Drosophila melanogaster: one gene and its partners. Changing the gene in region 3 together with the main gene of any one other region gives a genetic interaction. Each region holds a gene or a part of one and is shown on either strand. Other genes may lie near its edges. The genes, in order: Vps33B, TM9SF4 and PGRP-LC.

The links.
Region 1: of PGRP-LC (region 3) and Vps33B, changing one suppresses a phenotype caused by changing the other (phenotypic suppression), as found in Drosophila melanogaster (one study listed by BioGRID).
Region 2: of PGRP-LC (region 3) and TM9SF4, changing one suppresses a phenotype caused by changing the other (phenotypic suppression), as found in Drosophila melanogaster (one study listed by BioGRID).

What each region holds. Positions count from the first base shown.
Region 1 is NT_033777.3:25,468,253-25,476,430, forward strand, and holds Vps33B (vacuolar protein sorting 33B), read left to right. Parts: upstream 1-5,237; 5' UTR 5,238-5,263; coding exon 5,264-5,320; intron 5,321-5,375; coding exon 5,376-5,476; intron 5,477-5,533; coding exon 5,534-5,852; intron 5,853-5,916; coding exon 5,917-7,362; 3' UTR 7,363-7,504; downstream 7,505-8,178. Other genes in the region: CG4553 (uncharacterized protein), read right to left, coding at 7,510-8,178.
Region 2 is NT_033779.5:13,742,800-13,751,649, reverse strand, and holds the start of TM9SF4 (transmembrane 9 superfamily protein member 4), read right to left. Parts: upstream 4,699-8,850; 5' UTR 4,541-4,698; exon of another isoform or gene 3,762-4,540; intron 1-3,761.
Region 3 is NT_037436.4:9,336,065-9,344,668, forward strand, and holds the start of PGRP-LC (peptidoglycan recognition protein LC), read left to right. Parts: upstream 1-4,373; 5' UTR 4,374-4,525; intron 4,526-6,100; 5' UTR 6,101-6,263; coding exon 6,264-7,065; intron 7,066-8,135; exon of another isoform or gene 8,136-8,259; coding exon of another isoform or gene 8,260-8,548; intron 8,549-8,604. Other genes in the region: PGRP-LA (peptidoglycan recognition protein LA), read left to right, coding at 648-869, 922-1,157, 1,390-1,596, 1,662-1,805. UniProt on the Drosophila melanogaster protein: Major activator of the imd/Relish pathway and is likely to encode a pattern recognition molecule for the humoral immune response. Required for Relish processing and nuclear translocation following proteolytic cleavage.

The DNA of each region.
Region 1 (8,178 bases), on a different chromosome or scaffold from region 3:
AACATTTCTTCGGCATTGAAGAAAGTGGACGGAGAATGGGTGTTGGGTTGGGTTGCCACTACTGGCTCTGTTGGTAAACAAACATATAAACAGTTTTTCTTGTTCATATTTTCCAGCGTATTTTGTTAGCAAATGTCAACTTGGTTGACTGCACAGAATGCATCGATAGTTTTTCTTGATTCTGGAGTTATTTGTTTTTAACCCAAATGAAGGCACTTGTATTTTCGGATCATAAAAAGAGTAAAAATGTTTTTTTCTTTCTATATTTTCTATTTTCAGCTGTTAAGTGGAGAACATAAAACAATCCTAATCGTAACTAATATTATCAGAGAAAGAATCAACAAAGAATTGCACAAGAAGTAACGACTGACCATTGAACCAGAAGAAACGTAAAATTTGCAATATCCGGTCGATTTAAAGTGTTTTTGTAGCTTTTTTTGGTGTCTACTCCAGGAACTAGCCAAACGAAAAACAAAAGAAATTTCCGCTGAGTCAAAGTGCAAAATAAAAAGTTCAGCTCGTTTCAATTGCTCAAATCTAGCCTTTTGTCTTCATCGCCTCGTTAATTTAGAAAAAAAAAAAAGAACTCTGGCAAATAGTGTTGACACTGGAGATTCTCGGTTATAGTATTTAGAAATTTTATTTTTTAAATAAATAAGCTTAATAACAATGCTTATTTTGTTAAAGCTCCAAAAACGCTTGAATTTCTGGGCTGTCCGTGGTATGGTGTCCGTTCTGTCCGGAGTTTGGTGTCCGGAGAACGGTGCGAGGTTTAAAATTCCCACATCTCTGGTCTTCTTTGTATGTCGGCAGTTTCTAAGAGAGTTAACTTAACTAGTTGGTTCCGCTTTTGTTTGGTTTCTGTTTTCCTTTTTTGTTTTTGGCCGGCGACATCGCGGGAAATTCAAACTGAACCGAATAAACAAAGGACGGCGGTGGGGGCGTGTGGCAGGCAGATCGAGGGAAAGTGGGAAAACGCTGAGACGGAGTTGCGTCAAACGCTTTTCCGCCTTCTCAGCTATGCGTGGCACGTTGCCTCGCGCTCAAATTGCTGAGAAAGGTGAGAAAATTCGAGGGAACTAAACTGGAGATTGCACGACCAAGCCAATCCAGACCAGCGAGAAAAACCAAACCAAAAGATTTTTCATCTGCGCTCGAGTGCCGTCATTTTTCGGCTAGGCAGCGCGCTTAAGACGAGGATGTGAAAACCCCGGACTTGTGAAAGCCGCTGGTGTGAAATGGTGGGCAGGTATGTAGGATCTTCAAATGAATTGGCCGTGTCGAAACAAGTTAACCTAATGGCCGACTAGCTGCTTTGCATAAATTTTTTCCCCGAATTTCCAATTAAATTCGCAATTTTCCAGCGGCCAAAGTCGAAAATTTTACAATGACCTCTAATCAAAGTTGTTTATTTTATCGACTGTTTGTATTTACATTATTCTAAAAATAAGTGCAAAGTTGATTTTGGCCATTGCGAATAGGCAAAAGCAAAAATCAAATATATCGCCATCTATCAGTTTAAATTGAAATTTTATGCACAAATTAAAGTTGTTCTGAATCTTGTTTCTCAAACACATCTTCCTCATTCAAATATACGTTTTTCCAAAATATACAAATGTGCTAGAGAATGTATTTCATGTATTAATTCATCTGTAGCGTTTAGATACTTCTCAAGTATATTTCTTAGGCTCAGTTCCACGAATATAGTGGCCAAGTAACGATTTGCTGATTTATTCGCTATATTTGCCGCACCTTCGTTGCTTTTCTTTGTTTCTACTTGGACACGCGCCAAAATACTTTGCTCAAGGCAGGCAAACCACACACACAAACACTATCTGTACGTCAGAGCAAGTCATCCATCCCAGATTCTACATCCCCAACATATATCCATTGTGTCTCCCAACTCGAGTTGGGTTCACTTTCGCCATTCTGGTTCGGCGCAAGAAAAACAAACATGGCTCAGTGCGTCCGTCCCAAAGAAATGATGAAAGCCGAAGAGCGAAGAATGCCGTAGAATGAACAATTCTTTGTTACTTGTCTTGTCTTCGAGTGAGTCGAGTGAGTCACCCTAACGTAAAGAAACGCATGAGTGCGAATTGCCGCGATTGTTTGCGGTTTTTTGATGAGTGTGCTAAAATAAAGCACTCACTTTTCTTTAAATGTACATGCATATATGTACTCACTTTTTGGGTCTAAAAATATTGTAAAAGAAATATACAAATTAAAAATACCTAATCATGTAAAATGAATTCGTTACCAAACTAGCACACAAATCAGCTAAAAAGCGACGCAGTATTGGCAAATGTTCAAAAAACGTAAGAATAAACTTCAATCGCATTTTTCCAACACACACATGTGTCAAAATGTACCGAAAATGCTGCCCAAAAATAGAACCCGCCAAGTATGGGAATAATTACATTTTTAAACAGACTTACGCCAAACACCAGAGATCGAAAAAGAGAGTGAAACGAAGCTAATACAAAGCAATTTATATGTGTACAAACAGACAAATGGAAATATTTGCCATATGCCAACAGAAGAACAATACTAATTGGGTTTGATGTGTGAGCGTGGAAATGAGCAGAGCAAAAACAGACATCAAACCGACGAAAATTCACACGCCTCCTCCACACAGCGAACCAAAACGAGAATCTTTTTGGGGATTGGGTAAATTTTTTGGAGGGGGTGGGGGGTAACGAATAGCAACGCACGTTGCAAAAATGCTTTCTGCTTTCTTTTTCAAAATCATTGCTGTTTGCACGAGTTCTTGTTTCGTTTTCTTCTCCCGTAGATGTGTAATTTGTTTCAGGTTTTAATTAGTGCCGAACTTTGGCAAGAGAATTTATGGGGGTGCGATTGGAATTGGGATTGGAATCACCTTCGGGTGATGGTGTTGTTTATTTACCTATGTAAATGCAAATGAATTATTTCGATTTGCTTTGCTTTCAGCTTATTATTGTTTTTATTAAGCGAGTGAAGAGCGCATCTCGGACTGGAAATCGAATTGAGAAACGCCGATGGCCTCGATAAACTCAGCGGAATTTCCCATTAACGGGAATCCACATCTTCTTTAATCCAACTAACGATTAACCACTCTTATGAGTAATAATAAAATGTCGCATTAGTCGGAATAAAAATTCATTTCAAGTAAAGATAATTAACTTGCTTTTAGATTTATTCCTAAAGCGGATCCTAATGATTTTTTCTATATCTAGTATATAATGGTGAAACTAAGCAGTAATACTAATTTCAGCACAAGAAAATCAAATTGTTTGTATTTTATGCAATACAAACAAATCTCTTAAGATTTGTTTAGTTCTGAAATGATGATTCATGTTTAAAATTTCTCGCACTTTCGAGAGCAAACCTACAATTATAAAAAGAAAAATAATATGAACGCAAATTTTACATTATTTATGCTTTCAATTATAAAACAATAAATATTAAAAAAAATCATATATAGTTGAAACATTCTAACGTGACTCTCCTAACAAAACATACTGTTGCAAAACCTGTTCTAAGCTAAACTACTTAAAAACCTTTTAAAACTTGTAGGCAATTAGCAAAAGTTGAACAGTCTGGGCAAAAATTAAACTTTTAAATAAATCGAAAGGCCAATAAATTATAAAACCCATGGCAAAAACTTATTTTTAATGGGAGAGAGGGAAATACAAACAAATAAAGCATAATTGGGAGGGGCAACAAGAACAACAACAATAAGAAACGGGCATTAGAAAGATGAGCACGAAGAAGAAGATGCGATTAGAAGGCACGGGAGCGCAAAGAATAGAAAAATTAAAAGTAATCTAAACAGCAACCTGTGCAGCGTGCCCGAGCGAGACAGCTGCTCAAACCGGTATCGCAACAACAATTGAACCGCAAAGAAAACGCGAAGAAGACACACACACGGACTATAAGAAAATAATGTTAGCCACTAAAACAAAAACAGAACGAAGCGAAAACACAAAGATAATGATTGACAAAGGCAACAATGTACAACTGCAAGCAGGACAGAGTGAGAAGGAGAGAGCGGTAAAAAAGAGACGAATCTGCGGCACAAAAGAGAAGACGAGAACATGCAACAAGCTGCAATTGCCCAAAATAACAACAACAAACCAGACCGCACGGCTATTTTTGTCATTAGATTAAATATTTCACATATTTTTGCACAGTTTCACCCACATGCGCCAAACCCAAATTATTTATAAACAATGTAAGTGCAAGCTCACCTGATAACTGCAAAATAGGCGCCTGTAACTTTTGATAATATGGAAAATCTCAATTTAAATTTGTTGTTGGCTGTTGCTTTGCTTGTTGTTGCTGCCGCTGCTGTTGTTGTTGTTGTTGAATTTCACGCGAAAGCAGGCAAGACAACAACATAAAATCACAAACACTTGCACGCACATACGTCACACACACCCGCACACACACTTGGACAGCTGAGACATAAACACACGGAGAGCAAATCGCAGCGAGAATGGGAGAGAGAAAGAGACAGAGAGCGATAACAAATTTGTTTTCTGGTTTTTCTTCACGATTTTATTACACGCTTTTCGAATGGCTAACCATATTTTGATTCACATTTAATTCGCTCCAATCACAGTGTGTTCCGTGCGCTTGCTAATTTTCGATTTTCCACCGCAGAACTCCGCCCGTTTTGCTGCTGTTTTGGCAATCGTCTCTCTCCTGGCTAAAAACATATGATTTCGGTTGACGGAATCACGATAAAAACACATAAATGCGAACAGGGCGCGCGCAACAACTTCCCACGACAAACTCTCGCTTCGGAATTTGGAACGAAACTGCCACTTTTGCAGCGAATCGCGCTTAAATACCCGTCTAAAGATGGGAACGCATGGCGAACCGGTTCGATAGTTCGTGAGCGAACAGCCTTCGCACAGTGGTATGCAATCAAACTGAGCAGTAGATTAAGTACTTTTGTTTAACAAACCGGATAGCTCGAACTTTGAAAATAAGTTTTGGATCGGCAGGAATTAAGACTGTGCACAATTAATGCTTTTAATGGTGACTCAACACTTTGTGACGTCAGTAGTAGCATAAGTTCAAAATAATTAATTTGAGTATAGCTTTTGTTTAATGTATTGTATAGAATAACTAGTAATACTGCTTTTTTGACTGCGATAAACATTTACGTAATAAAAACTGCATATATTTGCTTTGTGACAACCCTATTTTATTTTGCGTGCGTCACCTTACATTTTGCTACCTTGCTGCATCAGCTGTTTGTGTTGTGCGGCGAAGAATGGATTTGACGCTGGACAAAAAGCTGCAGGGATTCCAGTTGGTGGCACAAGAAAAGGTATAATAATGAATCGGAAGAGTGAAACTATTAACTACCTGCAATTCGACTGCAGCTTTGTTCCATACTATGTAGCATACCTGGAAAGAAGGAGTTAATTTTGGAGCCCGACTTGATAAAGCCACTGGAACATGTTGTCACTGCCTCCTGGCTGAAGTAGGTGTTTAATCCATATTTTATGGATATTTACGTCTTATATATACCCCTTAACAGGTTGAAGGGCATACAACGGATCTACAAACATGATGCGGCACAATCTTTGCCCCGATCCGCCGATCAGGTGCACATCTACATGATCCGCAGTGTTTTGGGTACATTTCAGACACTTCTCAAGCAATTGCAACCCGTGGCCTCAGAGGAAATGCCCGACATCTCCATGAAAATGTATCACATAGTCTGTGTGCCCAGTTGTTACTCCTATTTTCAAACCCTGCTGGAACAGGCTGGTTTGTACGGACTGGTGCAACTTCATCACTTTAACTGGGACTTCATCTATTTTGATCAGGGAGTTCTCAGCTTGGAGCTGCCCAATGTGAGTAGATGTACATTGAACATTCAGAAAAGAGTCTTTTATACTGGATATTCTTATTATTCAGCTTTACGAGTGTCTCTACCTGCAGAAGAACACATCTCCATTGCCTGCGGTGGCCCAGAGCCTGCGATTGCTTCAGATGATTTGCGGACAACCGTCTTTGATTCTGAGCTTTGGCCACCACTCGTCGCAGCTAATGCAAATGGCGAAGACTCTTGGCAAACTTCCGGCGCCCACAAATCCTCCAGACTATGGCGGCTGGCTGGTCATCGATCGGGATAAGGATTACCCCGCCAGCTTGCTCACTCCGGCCATCTATGCAGGTCTTCTCTTGGAAGTTTTCGAGCATAGTTCTGGCGAGATTCTGGTAGACAATTCCAAGAACAAGATCCGCAGCCAGCGTGTGGAGTTACTCCAGGGAAAGAAATCCAAGATAGGCGTAAACTCAGCCAGCAAGCCGTGTTCCATTCGTCTTAACTCCACATCCGATGAGATCTACGGCGATAATCGGTACAAACGATTTGCTCAGGTCAGCAGTTTGATTCACGCACAAGTAAAAGCCCTGGGCTTGGAACTGCAGAAACTCAATGACATGCAGCTGGACGAGATGCATGACTATGTGGCCAGGAAGCTACCCAAACTAACCGAGCTTAAGAGCAAAGTCCTTAGGCATCTGAATGCCAGCGAGATTGTGATCCAAATGATGGGTAACTTCAGGAAGCTCCAAACGCTGGAGGAGGACATACTAAACAATGATTCAAGAAAGCGATTGCTAAGCGAGATCGACGAGCTGTTGACCACAGATGGTCAGAGATTTAATACACTGCGACTGCTGTGCCTCTTGCATCATTGCGTTGGCGTGGCGCCCGAGGAGCTGCAGATATTTGCGCGGAACTACTGCAATCTGTTTGGACACCAGGAATTGGGCGTGTTCCAGCAGTTGTCGCAGGCGGGCTTGTTGCCACCACTTGTGGTGGAGAAAAAGGCGCCAACGAAACTGCTCTCAAATCTACCTCTGCCCAAGTTCCAGCAAACGGAGTTTCAGGCCAATGCTAATCGGCTAAAGCTGTTGACCTCCAGTGGAGATGGTCAGGATGGAGGTTCCTCCTCCAAGAGCCAATCCAGTGGCTTGCAGACCTGTCCCAGTTTTGTGTTCAATGGCACCTACATACCATTGGTGGCTCAGCTCTGCTCCATTTTGCTGAAAATCAATAGTGCTGAGGAGTTGTCCTCGAAGCTGGGCATGATTGAGGGGCTGCATCTACACCTGGACAGCGGAAAAATCACGCCCAAGGCCTATGCCAGCCAAGTGAAGCTAAACGGAGTTGCAGATCAGGATATGTTCCCCTTGCGTCTCAGGAATCTCTTTGTATTCATTGTGGGTGGTGCCAGTTATGCGGAAATCGCCGCCTGCGATTTTGTGGCAAAGCTAACAGGCGCCCAAATAACCGTGGCATCCGACTCTCTAATGGCGGGCAGTGATTTGATCGCCACCGCCTTCAACCGCTGACCATGAAGTAACTAAGAATCTGTGTATCAAATGTTTTATATATTTTTATACAAAACAATGATGACAAAGCTTGTGATTAACAATTTTCGAAATTTACAATTTAAACAATGCTCTTTTCGAATAAATATTACCTAAAAGTGGCATTTGCTATTTATCACCACTGGCTCTGGTCATTCCAGGCACTCGGTAGAGCAGCTCTCCATCGTCATCGTAATAGGCATCCTCCACCCGGTAAGTGGCTCCTTGGCGATGCAGTTTCCGGGGAATAACAATGCGTGTTTTCACCTGGGTTATTTCATACTTGCGCTGATCCGCGGCACTGATCACAATCTCGCTGCTCGCAAACTTGGGCACGAAACTGGGCAGGAATCCGGTGCCACTGGGATTCTCGATGGGCCGCTTCATTTCCTCTGGAACTGCGGGCGCAGACTCAACGAGCTGCAATTCCTTAAGCTCCTGCAGCCGCATCTTCTTTTTATTACGGATTTTGTCCAACAAATAGGTTTCATCTTCGGCAGCAGAGGGTGGAGCTTCATAGCCGGATGGGATTTGTGGTGTAGGCATCTCCTCTGTTGTTTTACTACTGCTGCCCAGCAGTTTGCGGAATTCGTTGCCTTGCGGAGTCGGTAGTTGTGATTTTGTGGGCCAATCCTGGATTTTAAGCTCCCGCAGATCCTGCCACCTTCGCTCGGCGAATTTCTGCAGATGCTGGAGAAGAGACGGTGGGATACTGAAGTCACCCTTTCCCGTCCCTAAAAGCTGCCAGTTTTTAATGACGGTTTCATCGTGGGAGCGTATCCTTTGCACACTTCTCGG
Region 2 (8,850 bases), on a different chromosome or scaffold from region 3:
TTGTGGCAGCCGAATGTGGATGGGTTTTTGTTGAGCAGTTGGGGAAATTTAAGACGATTTCGTAAGTCGTTTTGGCTTCGCAGGAAGTTGGCTTAAATGATTTTGGTTTTGTTCTGTGATTATGTGAATTATGCCAATAATTTTATGTGGAATGGGTGCACAATGTTTTGTTGATTTGTGAAAGATAGCTATATAATGTCATACATATGTTTCTTAACAATTATGTATTTTCATGCCAAGCGAAAGGTTAGTAGAACATAATTAAATTAAATACGTTGTGAAGTCAGCAGAGTTAAGGATCAAATAATAGCAATAATAAAGCTACCTGTTCAGTAACCTCAAAACCAAACCAAATGCAATCCAATTTGTTGCATTGACCGCGACTCCAAGGGCGTGGCGGAAGGGGGCGTGGCTGGAAAGGAGTGGCATTTGGCTTCGAATTGCAATTTGCTTGCCCAGGTAAATGTTGCTACAAAACCAAAAATAATAGCATCAGCCCGACGGAGCTACATTTTGATGGAAACTCTGGATGCAGAGAAAGGATATCGAGGACTCCGTGGCGAGTGGAATTGCAGAGGAATATTCATGGCAATGCCGATGCTTGAGTGGCAACAACCACAAAAACGCATTGAATGGAAAATGTTTGAATTTATATTGCAAGTTTTACTTGATTGAAGCACTTTTGCCATACCGGGCGATGCCACTTGACGCAGCCAGTTCCACCCACCCAGTTTCGCCCACCAGTTCATCCTGCTGGGTCATCTCCGCCAGTGGATTTCCGGAGGAGCAGCCACATGGTAGCTGGTCACAACTTTCCTCTAACGAATTGCTATTCATAATTTCAAGTTGGTCAATTCCTGTTTAAGCTCGGAGTACTCGGCTTCATCAAGAAATCTTTGCTGAATTGTTGTTCTGATTATGTTATCGTATAATATGAAATTAGATTTCTTGATTTACAGCAATTGAAGTCTAATATTAAGCATTATTTTTAGCTTCAATAAAATATCTTTGGTTTCTGGTATCTTCGCTTTGCATTATAATTGCACTTAATGTTATTGCTCCAAGCCGTTGCATATATCATAGTTTTAATTCAAATTTATTACATGCTTGATTTTAGTCATGGTAAACATATCAATTTTAAGAATGATATGAAGCTAAAACCCATTTTGAGAAATTAGATATTTGATAAGTGCCTCAATGCCATTAATATCGAAACTTATTATATGCATGGCATATTTAGTGCTGCTTTAAATGCAAATTAATTTTGCACTAGTTTACTTAACTTTTGCGGCAATTTCGGTCATTGAACACTGGGATGGCCAAAATCATTTCACCGTGCGATGCTTAGTTTTTATGTGGCGACCGGACGTCCCATGGCACTGGAATCACTGAATAATGAAGGCCAGAGTTTAAACATTAATTAGACCCATCGATGCGCAGCCAACGAAAATACCTATTGATAGGACCCGGGGACCACGTGTCCTGCATGCCAAATACGCGTCACGTAAGCGAGCAATCCGCAGGATACGCAACTGGCGAAAAGCTGCGACGAACTGTTTAATGTGGATAACAATTTCGGGGGGGTACTTTTGTGTGGCACCTGCAGAATTGGCAGAAACTAACCGCAAGACAAAATCCGTCGCACAAGTTTGCCGAGGAGTTTAGCGCCATTCGACTTTTTTTTTTTTTTTTGTATGCGTGGCCTGCGTTGATTTTACGACATTTTTGGATGCGATTTCCATAAAGCAAAGTCCCCACGGCTAACTCCATAAAATTACAAGATACTACCTGTTAGAAGTTCCTCTTTGCCCAAATTCCAATAAACTCCCAGCACAATATTAGTTTTTATGCGGCGCCCAGACAAAAAATATAAAACGAAAGCCATCCGAACAAGTATACTTGCAAACAAAAAACGAAGAAAAGTTCGGGACGAGCGAGAGTGTGAGGGGAAAAAACTGCGAAATCATTTAAGCAAACAGTCACAGACTTTGGCAGTCTTCCGTTGGATCTACGATACCTGCATGGAAAACTTTCTGCTATGTGACTTTCAGAATTTTTAGTTTTGATTTCAGGAGTTTGGCCGGAGTTGCCATTGTTGTTGGCAGCTTAGTTTTGGTTTTGGCCGTAGCTGCAAATATTGCAAGTTGCGCCAAAGTCACGTGCAAGTTTACAGACATTCGGTTTGGTCTGGCACTTGGCACCCGTAAAATGGATTTCAGTCAGAATCCGGTTGCGTTGTCTTTAAACTGCAGTTTTCCCGGCAAAGAAGTTGGTATCTCTTTAGTGTGAAACAGAATGGTTTGTGGAAACTCTATTGGTAAAATTATTAACAAGGAGTAAGTCAGAGAATCATATCAAGAATGGGAATGGGAAGATCTTATTAACTCATCTTATAACTTATATCAAAATGGAGAAGCATTAGCTAAGAAACTTGTTATTCTTAAATAAAAGAGTGTAGAACATAATTTGGAACCTTAGTTTAAGTACAATATTGTTTTAGAAAACGTATTGAAATCGTAAGTAAACGAAACCATGTAAGATATCTGTAGTTAACTATACCTATTGCCTTAGCCGACCTCCAATCTCAGCTCGAACAGAGTGAATACGCCACATTTTAATTTAAATCGGAGGCATGCCCCAGATTTTGAAGACCGTCGCTGGCACACATCCTTTCCAGCTCCAATCGAGCGTGCGTAGGACGCGAACTGCTCAACACCTTTTGCAGTGAATGGAGCATAAGAAATCATATCAAGTGCTTCAGCGTACGGATATAATATATATAACAATTTTCACGCCATTTTCCTAACACGTTATTTGCGCGTATTTCATATATTCTTGCTGCCACGATGCCAGCTCCTCGCCGCGTATGTGAGTGTGTGTGTGCGTGTGAATTAGCGGCAAACGGATGTTGAATTGGTTTGCCTTCGTCTCGGCTTGCCACTCAAGTGTGAAGGTGTGCGTGTGTGTGTGTGTGGTCGTTACACGTGCACATATACAGAACATTCAATGTGTGTGTGTGTGTGTGGAGGAGCATCTTGTGGCTGGTTTCCTGGTCCAATGTTGACTGCTTGTTTTTATTCCATTTTTTTTTTTTTTTTTTTGGAGCGCAGGATGTGCGCAGTCCTGGCACGTTGGCGCGCTTAAATCAAAGCAATTTGCCAAGCACAATCGTGTTGTAAATTATCGCCGCAGGATTTTGTTTTATTAAACCGGGAGTAAGTGTGTCTGTGTGTGAATATGCGATAGGGTCTGCCTCCTATTCGTCCTGCCAGCTGGCCGAGATTCATCGAGCTCTGGCTCGGCGTGGCACTGATTGCTGCTGGGATTATGTGGAGGGACGCATTTAAAGTACTTGCGAAGTAAATTTACTAATTTACAAATAATTCATACATCAGAGTAGTTAAATCTCAATTTAAAAAGTACTGACAAGGATTTTCCCGTTTACAATAGTTACATTGATAACAATATATATATAATTTTGGCAATATACTAGTTAATACTTAATAATTTTTAAATATAACCATATCATAACTAATTAAATCGATTTAAAATGTACTTGCATTATAATTGAACTGTAATTTTTACACACAAAAGCACTTTATCGACAGCAAATATTTGTTATTTATTTAGGCACAGTTTACAGAGTCAGTTTGGGATTTTATTTGGGAATTAACAGAGATTATGGAAATTGTTGATAAGCAAAATTCGGTTTGAGTAGTTAAGAGATTTGCCTATAAATTACAGGCGTATTCTTCAGCGTCAATCAGTTTGTAATAGTAAGTGAAACCAATGAGTTCAAAGAAAAATTGTTGATGGAAGCTTCCTTAAGTAGTATCCATTAAAGGGTTGTTCTCAACATGCAAATCAACCTTTTGATGTACTACTTTAAGAATCTCCAGTTAAAGTCAACACATAAGTAGTGATAATGCAAGAGTATTGTATCGGAATTAATTAGAAATTATATATTTAAGTAGTGGATACAAAGGGCGATTTGATATAAAAGTGTCGCATTGTATGACCTACTTAACTAGCTGATTTTGTATCCCAACATAATAGGTTAAAAATTAATTCGAATTTTGTGAGCTGGGATAAAGTACCAAAGAATTTTGAAAACTGCACATTCTTTTAAGACAAAATTTTACTTTCCCTTGTTTTTTTTTCCAAATTGAGAATTTGTTGCCATTGAAATCGCAATCTGCATTGTTATTTATAAGAACTCATTAGTAAGCCCGTGCGGATGCTCTTGACATGATCGATTTCTTGACAAGCATCGCTTTCTGTGTTTACATGCATAAATCAAAGTTGCGATAAGGTTAATACAATTGCTTGCTTAACACCTTGTTGCCAGTGAGATTTTTGTCTGAAAGAAGCTGGCAGATAGACAGACAGACAGCCGAAACGATTTAGCCAACATACGTAACAATGTTGCCAAAACAGCGTGACAGCCCCAAAATCAGCAGCACAGTAGGAACAACAATGGGGCATTGGGGCAGTGTCAAGCAAGCAGAAACCCCCCCACTACCCACCACCACCAACTTACCCCCACCAAAGTGGTGTTAAGGCCACATCACTGCCATTTTTGCCATTCTTTAGCCATTCCGCAGCACGTGTGCCGAAGCTGCGACAATGAGAAGTGTGTGTGCGACTGGGTGTGTGACTGGGTGGGTTATGTGAATGATTTTTCACTTTTGCCGAAATACATTTTTATAAATTCTGACAGGGCATTTGTTGAGCCCGCTGCCTTCGATACCGCTGGGAAAGTTGATAAAAATGTTCTGCTCCTCGGGAAAAGTTCTTCCTGAAAGGAATATACAAGGTTATTCGGTGCAAAATGTCCATCGTTGTTTGGGGGGCATGACTTATCGATGCAGCTGGAATATTGATGTTGGAATAATAAAGATACACAGTTCGGTGTATATAGGTTTTTTGGTCATGAAAAGCTACCCAAGACTACGGGACCGACTACGGGACCGAGTATGCCATATTAACCGCTTTATACCATTATAAAAACTAAGATATAAGCTTCCATTCCTTGCAATGAACTAACTCCTCTCATATGTTGATAACAAAATGAGCCATCAACGACTGTCTAAGCAGTTCCACTCCCTCTCCCCGGGGACCACAAGCAGTTGGGATAATAAACCAAATAAATATTATAACTTCATCAGGGCTCAACAGTCCTCAGCTGCCACAGCATCCTCAAAGTGTTGAGGCGCAAAGATTGATGATAAGAGAGATGTTTGCGAAGATGACCCTCGACCACCCACTGACCCCCCGCTATGATGGAAAAAACGTATTTCTTTTCGGGTACGTAACTCAAATATTTCGCCCTAAATTCCACGACTATCAGCTGCCCATCGCCGGCCTATCATCAACTCATAATGTTGACATTTTTCCCACAGTTCAATGGGCATCGAAATACAAACGTGTCTGTATTCCTTCTGCTGGGCGTTATCTGTAGGTGGTTGAGGCTTCTTCTGTCTTTTGCCTCCTGACTTCGGATGTATCTGAGACTTGGAGTGGGGGAGATGAGAAATGGGACAACACGGGCCGTTCTTTTGTTTGATTGACTCGACTTGGCCTTTGTTTCAATGACTCGAAACATCTTGATGATGGCTTGTCCAAATACGGACAACGATGGAGCAGCGTTTGTGGGTGTGGGGACTTGAATGGAAGACGTGCTATTTGATTTCATCTTATTTTTGTAATTTCTGGGTTCAGTGCGCAGCAAGTAGTTAAATATATATTTTCATTTCGTCATTTTTCTCAGCTTACGTACATACCATATGTATGTGTATAAATATCTTTCTATGACATAATGCTTCATTAGGCAGCGACACCCGCACATCTGGAAATGAAAGAAAATCGTGGAAAATTTCTGGGCTTCTGTGTTGATTTGTTTGCCCGGCAATTATTATGCTTATCGCTGACACAAATCGCCATTTAATTAGTTCGATGCCATTGTGTCGTGTTTGTAGACTTCCCATTGATTTGTTGACACTGCCTAAGTTTGTCAGCAGCGAAGGCCACTTGTCCATAATGCTCGAGTAGGCTAATAGGGATCACGGGTCTCTGTGGCTGACAGCTGGCAAATATTTTCCCACTTAAATATCATAATTGGCTCACTTTATTGCCATGACAACTCACGCGAAAATTAAAGTGATTTAATCAGTTTGGTGGAAATGGGTACGGTAATGCAATTAAAGAAATGGCTTTTGTTGCTCTTCAAACTGTGTTAATTTCGCTAATTAAATGTTTTTTATTTCTTTTTTTTATTTCGAAATGAGGCGAAAGCGCGGCTAATAGATTAAACAAGTTTTTATTTTTAATAATTAATGAATTGTGTAAATGTGTAATAAAGAAAATGAAACCCATATTTATATTAATTTCAATGCTGGCTAAATAAAGTGCAGCAACGCTCAAGCAAATGGCAAATATGAAAGCCTTTCGATAACTTAATTTAAAACATAATTGTATTAAGAGTCCCTTTTATATATATTTTGCAGCTTATTTAAGGTAAGAACAAACTTGGTAGCCCTGGGTAGCCGAAATTCAATAAATTTAACTCTTTAGGTGCAAAAACCCATACGGCCAATAAATCATGCGCTTGGCCAGGACATAAATTACAATTAAAACTGAAATATAATTATGTTATCTGGGTAACTTTTCATTGAGGCAGCAGCAGCAGCATCACATCGAGTAGCTCACAAAACATTTGCCACATTTATGTGTGCGGCCTTTGTGCGACTATCTCACCTTTTAGCCAACTATTAATTATGTCCTTGCTAGACGGACACAATAGCCAAAATGTCGCAAAAGTTTTGCTGTTCGAGCAGTTGTGTTGGGCCCTTTGGGCTCGTTGGCGGCCATAAATCTGCATAAGCCGAATCCCCAGATCTCTTCACACCCGATATCTATCTATGTGTATTTGTCGCATCTTAATTAACATGAAAAGTGGCCGCAGTTCGCCATTTCATTGGCCATTCGCCCCATCTGGGACATCTTAAGGACAAGCCATTCAGATGCACTCCCTGCACTTGGTAAGTCGATTAATGTCGGCGTCAATGCAACTATGCAGCTTCGACTTTTAGCACTTAAAGTGCATTTGCCATAAACTTGACCACTTTTCAGTTTCACAGGACAGTGGCGTGCAATTTTAAGGATATAGTAACATTAGGCAGGAGATAATGAGTATTTATAGGTAATTTTACAAATGATGGCATGTTTTTCCTGTAAATTTGTATGTTTTTCTTGAGGATTTAGCCTTGAAAACTGGGGAACCCCTTTTCTTTTATCCCCATTCTCGTGCGCCACTGTTGACACTGTTGACTCCTTTATTCCTTGCTGGTCAGCTGGCTTAGTAGTTAGTACATAGTTGGTATCTGTTGGATGTGTCGCAGTATTTTATAGTTAAACTTTCGCCCGACCACGCCCAATGCGCTCTCCCCTCGACAATCCCATGGATCGTACATTTTGTTTTCCCTGCAATTTTCTTCGTTGTTCTACACAATTAGCAGCTATTGCCATTTCGACCCCCTTCGCGTTATCCCTGTGTTATCCCCAGGCTTCTCCTCTCCCCTTGCCCCCTTGCCCTCGTTACCCTTTGGCCAGTTTGTTTGTTTGTGTGTCCTTCCCCGTTGGCCGGCTTGTTTGCCTTGTTAGTTGCCGGTGGGCGTGGCTCATTGTACGAGTAATATGCGTTTTAGATTGTAGACACTGTGCCCCCTGGTCATCTTGTGTTTCCACCAATACACCCAACCCCGATAAAGTCCTTCAGCCACATAGTGTACCATGTATTCCCCCGGTTCCTGTGACTGTGACTTGCATAATGAGTAACATGTTTGTCGTAGGCCGCTGTGGCTTGGCCAAGAAGCCCACCGTTAATGGCCAACAATTGAAAGCGTTTAAGGAAGGGACAATGACCTGATCAACTGCTGCGATTAATATCTTTGGTGGCAATTTAGTTTCATTGATTTGAAGTTGACCTTTAATAGAAATAGCTCCATACTTAAGATAACTAAGATATAATTTAATTATATCAGCTCTAAAGAAACATATTTACTTGGCCCATATTTTAAGAAAGATCCCTTTTTCAATATAAAAAATATGTACCTAATAAACCCTTTATACTTATATATTACTTATATATTATGTTGTTAAGCAGAATATTTAGAGGTTATCCAGTTTGTTTAAGATCCCCTTGTTCATTCGCTGATTTTTTTTAGCCTTAGTCCAATTGCTCAACTGGCTGTTTGTGATTGTTCCTGTCTCTTTCAGGCTGTCCAACCGAAAGGAATTGGATGGAAAAAGTGAGCAGTCGGACAGACGACTATCAGGGCCATCAGCAGCAGTTGCAATTGCGAGGCAGCAGCAACAAATGATTTAGAAAATGATTTATGGCACACTCATCTAATTACCAGGACCCGCAGAGTGGACCCAGGAACCCGGATACAGGAGCATTCGGCAAAAAGCCATGGCCATGCGAAGGACCCTACGCTCGGATGACAATTGCGTACCATTTGTAGCCAATGTTTGCCGCTGTGTGGGTGTGGCATGAGTGTGTTTGTCAGCAACATCATTGGCGACATTAATGACATACGCCATCAGTGCGAGTCTTATGGGTGGCAGTTCCAGTTCCAAGGATCCCCTCATCATTCCCATCATCGCCATCATTCCCATCATGCGCCAGTTACGCCAGTTACCAAGCCTTTTTCCGCGACTGCATCGCATCAATCGTCATCAGTTGGGAGCGAATGTGTTGCGGCTGTAAAATGGGTTTCGTATTAGTATCGCATCAATTATAATTTCTAGCTGACATGCGAATAGCTTCCGGATTTGTTGCAATTTTTC
Region 3 (8,604 bases):
GTGCGGTGGCGGTACCAGTGGCACTCCGCCGTCCGATTATCGGTCAAACCCATTGTACCACATTATAAAACAATCAATTTGCAGACCACCGCTGTTCCCAGTATTTGCTATGATATTTGTTACCGATGACTCAGTGGTCAATTACTCATAATAGATATATAGGCTTATAATGCCGTGTTTTGTGTCCAATAACGAAGAGGTGTGATAAGCTTAGTGGATCGAAGTGCCATGAAACTGTTACTAAAAGTTCACTCGGAACGCACGGCGCGCAGAAGACGTACACCCGAACCCAGTTTAGCCCACTCCCGGGATTCATCAAGTACATACATAAAATCTAATATCTACTAATAAATTAGATTTACTCAGCGCTTTCACAGGCTTAACTAGATCCGTGTTTTCCGACACCGAAAAAAATATTTAGAGGCCTGAAAGATAATTGAGCTTAAAAACGTTTTAAAATTATTTAAATTTTCTAGATTATGATTTTAAGTTTCCGACTTGTTTGTTGTTATAGAAATATAAATGCTTTTGATATGCAAAACCGTAAAATGTTTCAAAAACATTTTAAGTCAATATATCCATTGAAACGATACAATTTCTTGGCTTTTGTGAATCATATGCTAATTGATTGACTTTCGCTAATTAAGGAATCAACAGCAACAATGCCAATGGTAATGGCAACGCCAATCGAAGTCGTGATAAGTCGCCATCTAGGCGGGTCACTCGGAACACCATCCTGCTGATCACGCTGATCCTGTTGGTCCTGGCCACCGGATTGATTGTGCTCTACGTGGAACTCAATCGACCCAAGCCCGAGTTGCCCAGTAATAAAGCCATCTATTTTGGCAACAACTACGACCACCAAACGTGTAAGTGGATGGCACTTGTATAATCCATATAGCCAATTCACCAATTCTACAGTTCCGAATCTAGGAAACGGCCATCTCGTCGTCGACAGAGAGCAGTGGGGAGCGTCGAAGAACTCTCATGGTCTGACCATTCCCCTGAAGCGACCCATTCCCTACGTCCTAATCACCCACATTGGAGTGCAGTCTCTGCCCTGCGATAACATCTACAAGTGCTCCATCAAGATGCGCACCATTCAGGATTCAGCCATTGCTGAGAAGGGTCTGCCGGATATCCAATCCAATTTTTATGTAAGCCTGTTCTTGTTCTGCACTCTTTTACGCGCCTCAATGGGAAACATAGTTCCTAAAATAAGCCTTGTATAATACTTTTTAAGCCTTAAAAATCAAAATTTCTTCGAGTGTAGTAGGGAAAAGAAATCCCGGCGCGTGCATTTGTGTTCCCATCACGTTCACGTGCCATTTTGGGCATTTCGCTTTCCGCTTACGCAAATTGTCAAATTTCCGAATTTGTTTCGACCAGGTTTCGGAGGAGGGTAACATCTACGTTGGCCGCGGCTGGGACTGGGCCAACACGTATGCGAACCAGACATTGGCCATTACCTTTATGGGCGACTATGGCCGGTTTAAGCCCGGTCCCAAACAGCTGGAAGGTGTCCAATTTCTGCTGGCCCATGCAGTGGCCAATCGAAATATTGATGTGGACTACAAACTAGTGGCGCAAAATCAGGTATAATTACTTACTATATATCTGGCATATCTGGTGACATAATAATTTAATTGAATATTTTCCAGACTAAGGTGACCAGAAGCCCGGGTGCATATGTGTATCAAGAAATCCGGAACTGGCCGCATTTCTACGGCTGCGGAATGGACGAAGCACCGGCCTGCGGCATCGAATTGGGCATGAAAACGGAATCGTGGGACGCCAAGCAATAGCTACAGACTTTTCTACCACCTAAGTGTAACCAAGCACAAACTGTATTTTAATACATATACTAAGGCGAATGGAGCTTTCTTTTAATCGGTTATGCTGGCTTCGAAACCAAAGTAAACCGGTTGGGAGCAAGCGGTTTATTTATAGTAATATATATATATATAGTGTCTCTCTTCCTCTCTGGAGCTCTGTTTAGTTTTACTGTCGCTCAAAAAGCTGGAAATTCCCAAGCCGCAGTCAACCTCTATCAGTGCCAATACCAGTACCCCTTTTATTCCCTCATAGACTTTAACACTCATCGATCTTGTGTGTGTCTGTGTGTGTGTGTAAATATATGAGAGCCTTTGTGCGCCAGTACAACATCATTATCGGTAGCTTCACTTCACTTCACTTATATAGACGATGTTGTGATCGCTGTGGCTGCCTTTGTCATTTATCTGCCTTTCAACGTGAATATATGTACAATGATAATAATGATGTTTTATTTTTGTTATCATATGGAGTCATTACAATCCTATTTACAGGAAGACTGGTAATAGCAGAGAAATATATTAAAAATGAAATGGATATTTGCCAATAAGATCTGCTATCATCACCGACCTTCAGTTCAAAGCCCTCAACAGAGAAGTACGTTCGATGATTTATATTGGTAAAAAAAAAAAGAAACTCCTTCGAAATGTTTATGTTTTTAACTTGCGCATCAAATGATGAGCTGAAACTATGACGACATGGAAAGCTAATAAACTAGTGGGTGTGCCTTTTAACCCTCTTTTCATCAATGACCTAAAGTCCAACCTGCCCAAAAGAGTGACGTACATACATTCATTGACTAATTAATCTCACGGCGCCTTAAAAAAAAAATTATACCTACAACGCGGAACGAATTTTTGGCCAAAACAATGACGAGAGTACGGCACGTGTAAAAACCAAAAAGAAGAAGAAAAAAACACATATGCGAAGAGGGAACCAAAAAAGTAAAAATAATTAATAATAATTAAGGTAAGAAAATATGTGGAGGTAGGTATATTAAAATAGCTATGGTGATTGATTTCGCAACCGTTGTAAAGAAATTATTATCTGCTTCATTGGAAATGATTTACAATAATTACTGGCATTTTTCGCAATAAAATAATGGGTCAACAAAGAATAGATTGCCTGGCTACAAAAGGCATAAATCATTAGATGTTTCGGTGTAGAACTTTAACTGCAATAAAATAATACATTTTAAAGGCCACTCAACAAGCTTATCAGTAAGTCAGGAACACTGAGAGAAAAAATATTATAAATAGTCTACAACTATTTCGATTAAAGCTCGTTGCGCTTTCCACTTATAATTATATTTTTATTTTTCTTTTCTGTAAGCGTGTTCGGAATTCGTTTCGCCAATTTGTTGCTCTTTACGTTTTATCCATCAACAGTTTCCCGGCGCCCTTTTCAGACTATCAGAGATCGCCGAACCGCCGTTCGCCTATAATTACATTAAATATTTTTCAACACAAGTACAATGGGTCAAGCTGGAATTGGAAGAGAAAAAAAAGAGCTATGTACACATGTACATATGTATACATATATATATATATAACTGGCCTGTACCACAAAGTGAAATAGCCAAAAACCGATTGCGGGCCGCAAAACAAAACAATTCTCGGAAATGGTAGCGCAATTTAAAATGTTCACATTTTTGCCCACACTGCAATGTCTGTAAGTGTTTTGGTAGACGGGAGAGAGCCGGAGATTTGTGTTGTTTATTGGTTGAATAAATAAAAAATATATATATTTATATACATACATATGTACATATATAATACGTATACGCCGATTTGTCTGTGTCGATGTCGGTGCGGACGACTAAACAACTAAACAAAAACAAACAGTCATCGTCAGGTGGGAGAAGTTGGAGAGACCATTCTCGAGCCACGGGGCGTAGCTGGAGGTATCGTTATAAATTTGACTAATATCTGGAAGATTTATAAAAAAAAACCCGAAATCGAGAACAGGTTCCGCGACTTAATGACGCTCGGAAAAACCGAAATATGCAGCTCGCCAGATGCAGTTATCGGAATTCTTTCGGTTTCTTGGGATCACTCGCTTTTCGTTTAAACCAGTTTCGATTGAGAAAAAGTTGTACCGCTATCATAAGTTATTAAAATGTACAGTTTTTTTTAAGGAAAATTTAAATCATTGCATTTTATTGGTTAACGCTAGATTACAAAAAGGATAGAAAATACAACAGAACGCGTTCATATTATGTAATATGTAAACACTATATGTTAAAAAATTATATTTTCTAAAACGATTTAGAAGTTTTTTGGAACAAGGCTTTTGAGTTGCACTCTTAAGATCTTTTGAGAAATCACTTATTAAAATGCAAATCGGTAACAAGTTGGACTGCCTGAAAATCGGACTCAAATTAAACAACTTTGGTTAAATAAACGCAAAAACGCCGACCGCTCTCTCCCCATCATTCTCTTTGTTTTTTTTTTCTCAGCGATCTGCTCTCCCTCACACACGCTCCCCACACGCTGCCATATCAGACGCTCCAGCTTTTCAGGCCGCTGCGATTTGATCGCCGCTCAGTTGATCAGAGTCACTCGAACGCGCCGCTGCTCAACGATTCGAAATTGGCGCGAAACGGTATAAAAAGTTCGACTTACAAATTGGCTATATAGTATAGACGCTCAAATATCAAACGAGCTGCAACGGTTTTCGTCGGCAATTTAAAGTGCGTAACGATATGCAAAGTGTTAATATAGAATAGAATATAGAGTGATTATATAGAATATTACACACCGCAAAATAATCATAATCCTATTATATGACTAGTGACAAATAATTGAGCAATTATATCGATATTTAAGTGCAAACTAGTTTGTTTCTCCAATCGTTTTATGTTCCAGGAATGTTAATTAGCCTTTCGAAACACGAAAGGAAGTGAAAGAAATTCGTGGAAGTGAAAAAGAAAACATGCTATCGAAACATCGATCGAAAATCAATTAATTTGCACATAGGCCATATTTAATGATAATTTTGAAAACACGTAAAACATCAGAGTTGTTAATTATTATCGATTCTCCAAACAGAATACAACCAAAACAAAGAGCACCCATATTGTGATGATCTGTGCGTGTATTAGTGACAATGGCCGCCGCTCCCGTGCACGTGTATTGGTGCGCTCGGTAAACTCAAAATGCCATTCCGTTTCTCATTTGTAGCCGTTGTCGTTATTCGGTGTATTCCATTTGGTGTTATCTCAAAAGCGTGCTCTGTGCCAACTCTCTAGAACATCGATTCTAAAGTATAAAGTCGCTACCCTCCAAGGCACCCTTTCAATTCTATCGAGTTTATCACAATTCGCGGAATTCTTTAAAATAGAGTTACTGTTTTGAAATTGGCACACCTCTTCGGAAACCTTCGTATCTACGTATCATCAAGACGTCACGGCATATGCCCATAATGATCTTTCAGCCTTTTGAAGACGTCACTCGTGGCTTTCGAATATCCAAAATTAAGCATAACATGCATATGTATGGGTAACAACTACTACTTTTGTGTTTCTCGGAATCCACTTAAGTAAATAGACTACGTCAATGATTATAGCTAATTTGCATAAGCCTTGCATTCGTGCGAGCTTACTGACCAACTATTTGAATCGAATTTGACGAGTATACAATATAAGTCAACTGTATACATACACATATATTCCAGCACTATTCAATACCCTTATATCTTAATTATACAAACTTCACTGCCATACAACAGCAGCAACGTTTTTTATTCGCGTTTTAAAAACTCTGTTGGCAATCGAGCTTATCAACAATCGTGTATACATGAACTAAAAGCGTTGATTGTACTTATAAATCATATTGCAACTGAACGATCTAATGGATTGTGATAACAATAAAATCACTTTTATAAAGCATGTGTAATTGAAAAGTATTAAAGAACTGACGAAATATTTTTCTAAATTGTGTGTGTTATCCAAACCGTTTAATAATGCTCAAAGCTATCAAATAAATATCACTTAGCTTATCGCATAATATAATATCAGCAATACATTGTTAAAATATATACATATATTTATCAATGTTCTAAAAACACTTGCACACAAGGGAATTATGTGGTTTTATCAAAAATAAAAAAATCAGTGCACCATAAAGCCAAAGTGCCTCCCCAAAGTTAAGCCCACTTTAGCCCAATTCAAACAAAAAATTTCTTCGAAATTTGACAACGTTTGACTAGCTTATTATCATCAAGTTAACCGGGACCAACAAAAAAAAAAACGTATACTTATTTGCAGATGCTCATGATGTGATGTTTGCCGAGAGCTGTGCCTAGTCAGCCGTTTTGCCATACGAAAAATAATGTACCGCCCAATCTGCTAAATAGGAAGGCTAACACATAACGCTCAGAGATCCAGAGAAAATATCAATCTGGTTACGTGACTGTCACGATAGTTCGACATGCCTTTTAGCAATGAAACGGAAATGAGCCAATGTTCCAATGCGAAACGTAGAGTAAACGATCCGTTGACTGGACCAAAAAACTGCAGTACTTCGTCCACAGACTCGGGCGTTATACTAAACGATAATGTGGCGGCATTCCGGCCGGAGAAGGAGACCAAAGATCGGGGGACGGGCGAAGGGCAGTTCCAATCGAAATCGGAAGAGAAAACGGAATCCAAGCGTATCAGCGTTGAGCACACTGTCAATATAACAACGGAAAATGTTGGAAAGACATCTTCGCCGGCGGTTTCCATACGGAGTACCACAATTTCCGTTGTGTCCATCGATGATAATGCCATCGACTCGAGTAGTATTGATAGTGATTCGGAGGCCGAAGCGGAGGATTATACGGTCCAGAAGCTGGGTCACCAGGTCACCTACCCGCCCAACAGTTCACACCTGCGCGACCTTAACCAGGGTCTAACGGTGATCAGTCGCCATGTGGCGCCAGGTGAGGCGGCAGTACCACCACCCAATCCCCTGGAAGCTGGCATTGTGGCCAAGCAAATACTGAACGGTAATCTGGCCGTGGCCACGCCCACATCGCCGGCGGGCGGTGCCACGCAGGGTATTGGCAGCATCGCCCTGACCAACTCCACAGATGTGACGTTCGGTGATAAGCATTTCTACGAGGGACCCGTGACGATACAACAGTTTCTCATCGATAATCGGGACAAGTGGAAACCGGGCGAGGGACCAGCTGGTGGACAGGATAACCCCGCATTCAATGGTGGTCCCAGCACGAATGGAAGTGCGCCGGGTAAGACATTCTAAGCTAATTTAATAGATTGTATTTTAAAATCTAAATCTGATATCGTTTAGTTTTTGTACACTATACTAAGAATGGAATCTTAAAAGTTGTAACTTTCGATTGCTTTCGCATCTTTCTGCATAGTTATTCTTGAGGATCGTTAGTTCGATAATTTCAACTTTTTAGTTTTCTATTCTAAAATATATATTTTCTGGGATATATATCCTTAAAACATATATATATTATTTTGCTATTTCCTGCTGCCTTTGTTTGCGTTTCATTTCTGTCTTCACCTTGCCGCGGTTCTGTTTGCTTTAATGGGCCAAAACTGAGCGCGTGTGACTATTTGTTTACTCAACCCAATTGGCCAGGTCTAACGACCGTGCTGCGAATGGTAGATTAGCAGATGGCCCACAAAGCAGACAGATTCATTGTATGCGCCTAGAACAAATACTACATGTTACTATAAAAACATATTAAATGCATTTAATTGCGCAAGGCAACAAAACTCATTATGGAAAATTTTGTTAAAATGCCAAATAATTTTATTACGTATAGAAAATATTTTAGCTTGAAAATTAAAAAATATTTATGAAAATCACGAACCCAAAATTTGTCTCACATAAAATAAAATTCATGAGAGAAAAAGTTTTAACGCCAATAGTGTCGGGGGATTTTTTAATATTAATACATTTTTTATTACTTATAGAACTCGTTTTTTATCTCCCTGTTTTCCGATTACAATCTCAGCACAAAAAAAAAACAAGTAAAATTTCATTCACGAAAAGAAAATGTATCTCTGCCGATTCAAGGCCCCGCAGCTCGTAAATCAAATCGGTGAAAACTTGCGATAATTACGCACAAAAAAAAACCATAGCAACTGCAATTGTTTACTTGATTGATTTTCACAATTACCATAATTAAATCGCCGTTCTGGTTGGCGAAAGTCTCCAATTGGAATTGAACCAGGGGTTCGAGTGTAAATTTAGTCAGCTGTAGTTAAGTGTTGTTTTTATAAAGGCAGGTGCTTCCCCTGGATCACGCAATAAATACTCATATAAAGCGGGGGGGTTTTTTGCGTGCGGCTTAAATACTTGCTAAATGAAAAAGTGAAAAACAAGAACAGTTCCTGCATACTATGTGCGCGGATCGGGAAAAGTACCCAACGATCGGTTTCAGTTGTTCATATAAAGCGATCGGAGAATGTCGAGGAACACGCTTGAAATTTGCCTAAAGTGTCACGGGATAATCGTAGATAATGACAGGCGTATCGAGTGTGATAATGTTTATTGTGGTCGGTCCTGTCATCGCAAATGCACGGAATTGTCCGAGGATCAGTTGAAATTGCTGGAAATGGTGCCCAATTTAAGGTGGAAATGTGACAACTGTCTGAATGGGGTGCAAATTGGAGCACAAATGAGCAAGTGGTTGGAAAAGTCACTGCGGGAACATGAAAAACGATTGGAAATCCTAGAACAGGGGCTAGTGAAGCGTAAGAAGAAATACTGAATATATAGCAAGCTAATCTTTGATTTTATAGGCTAAATA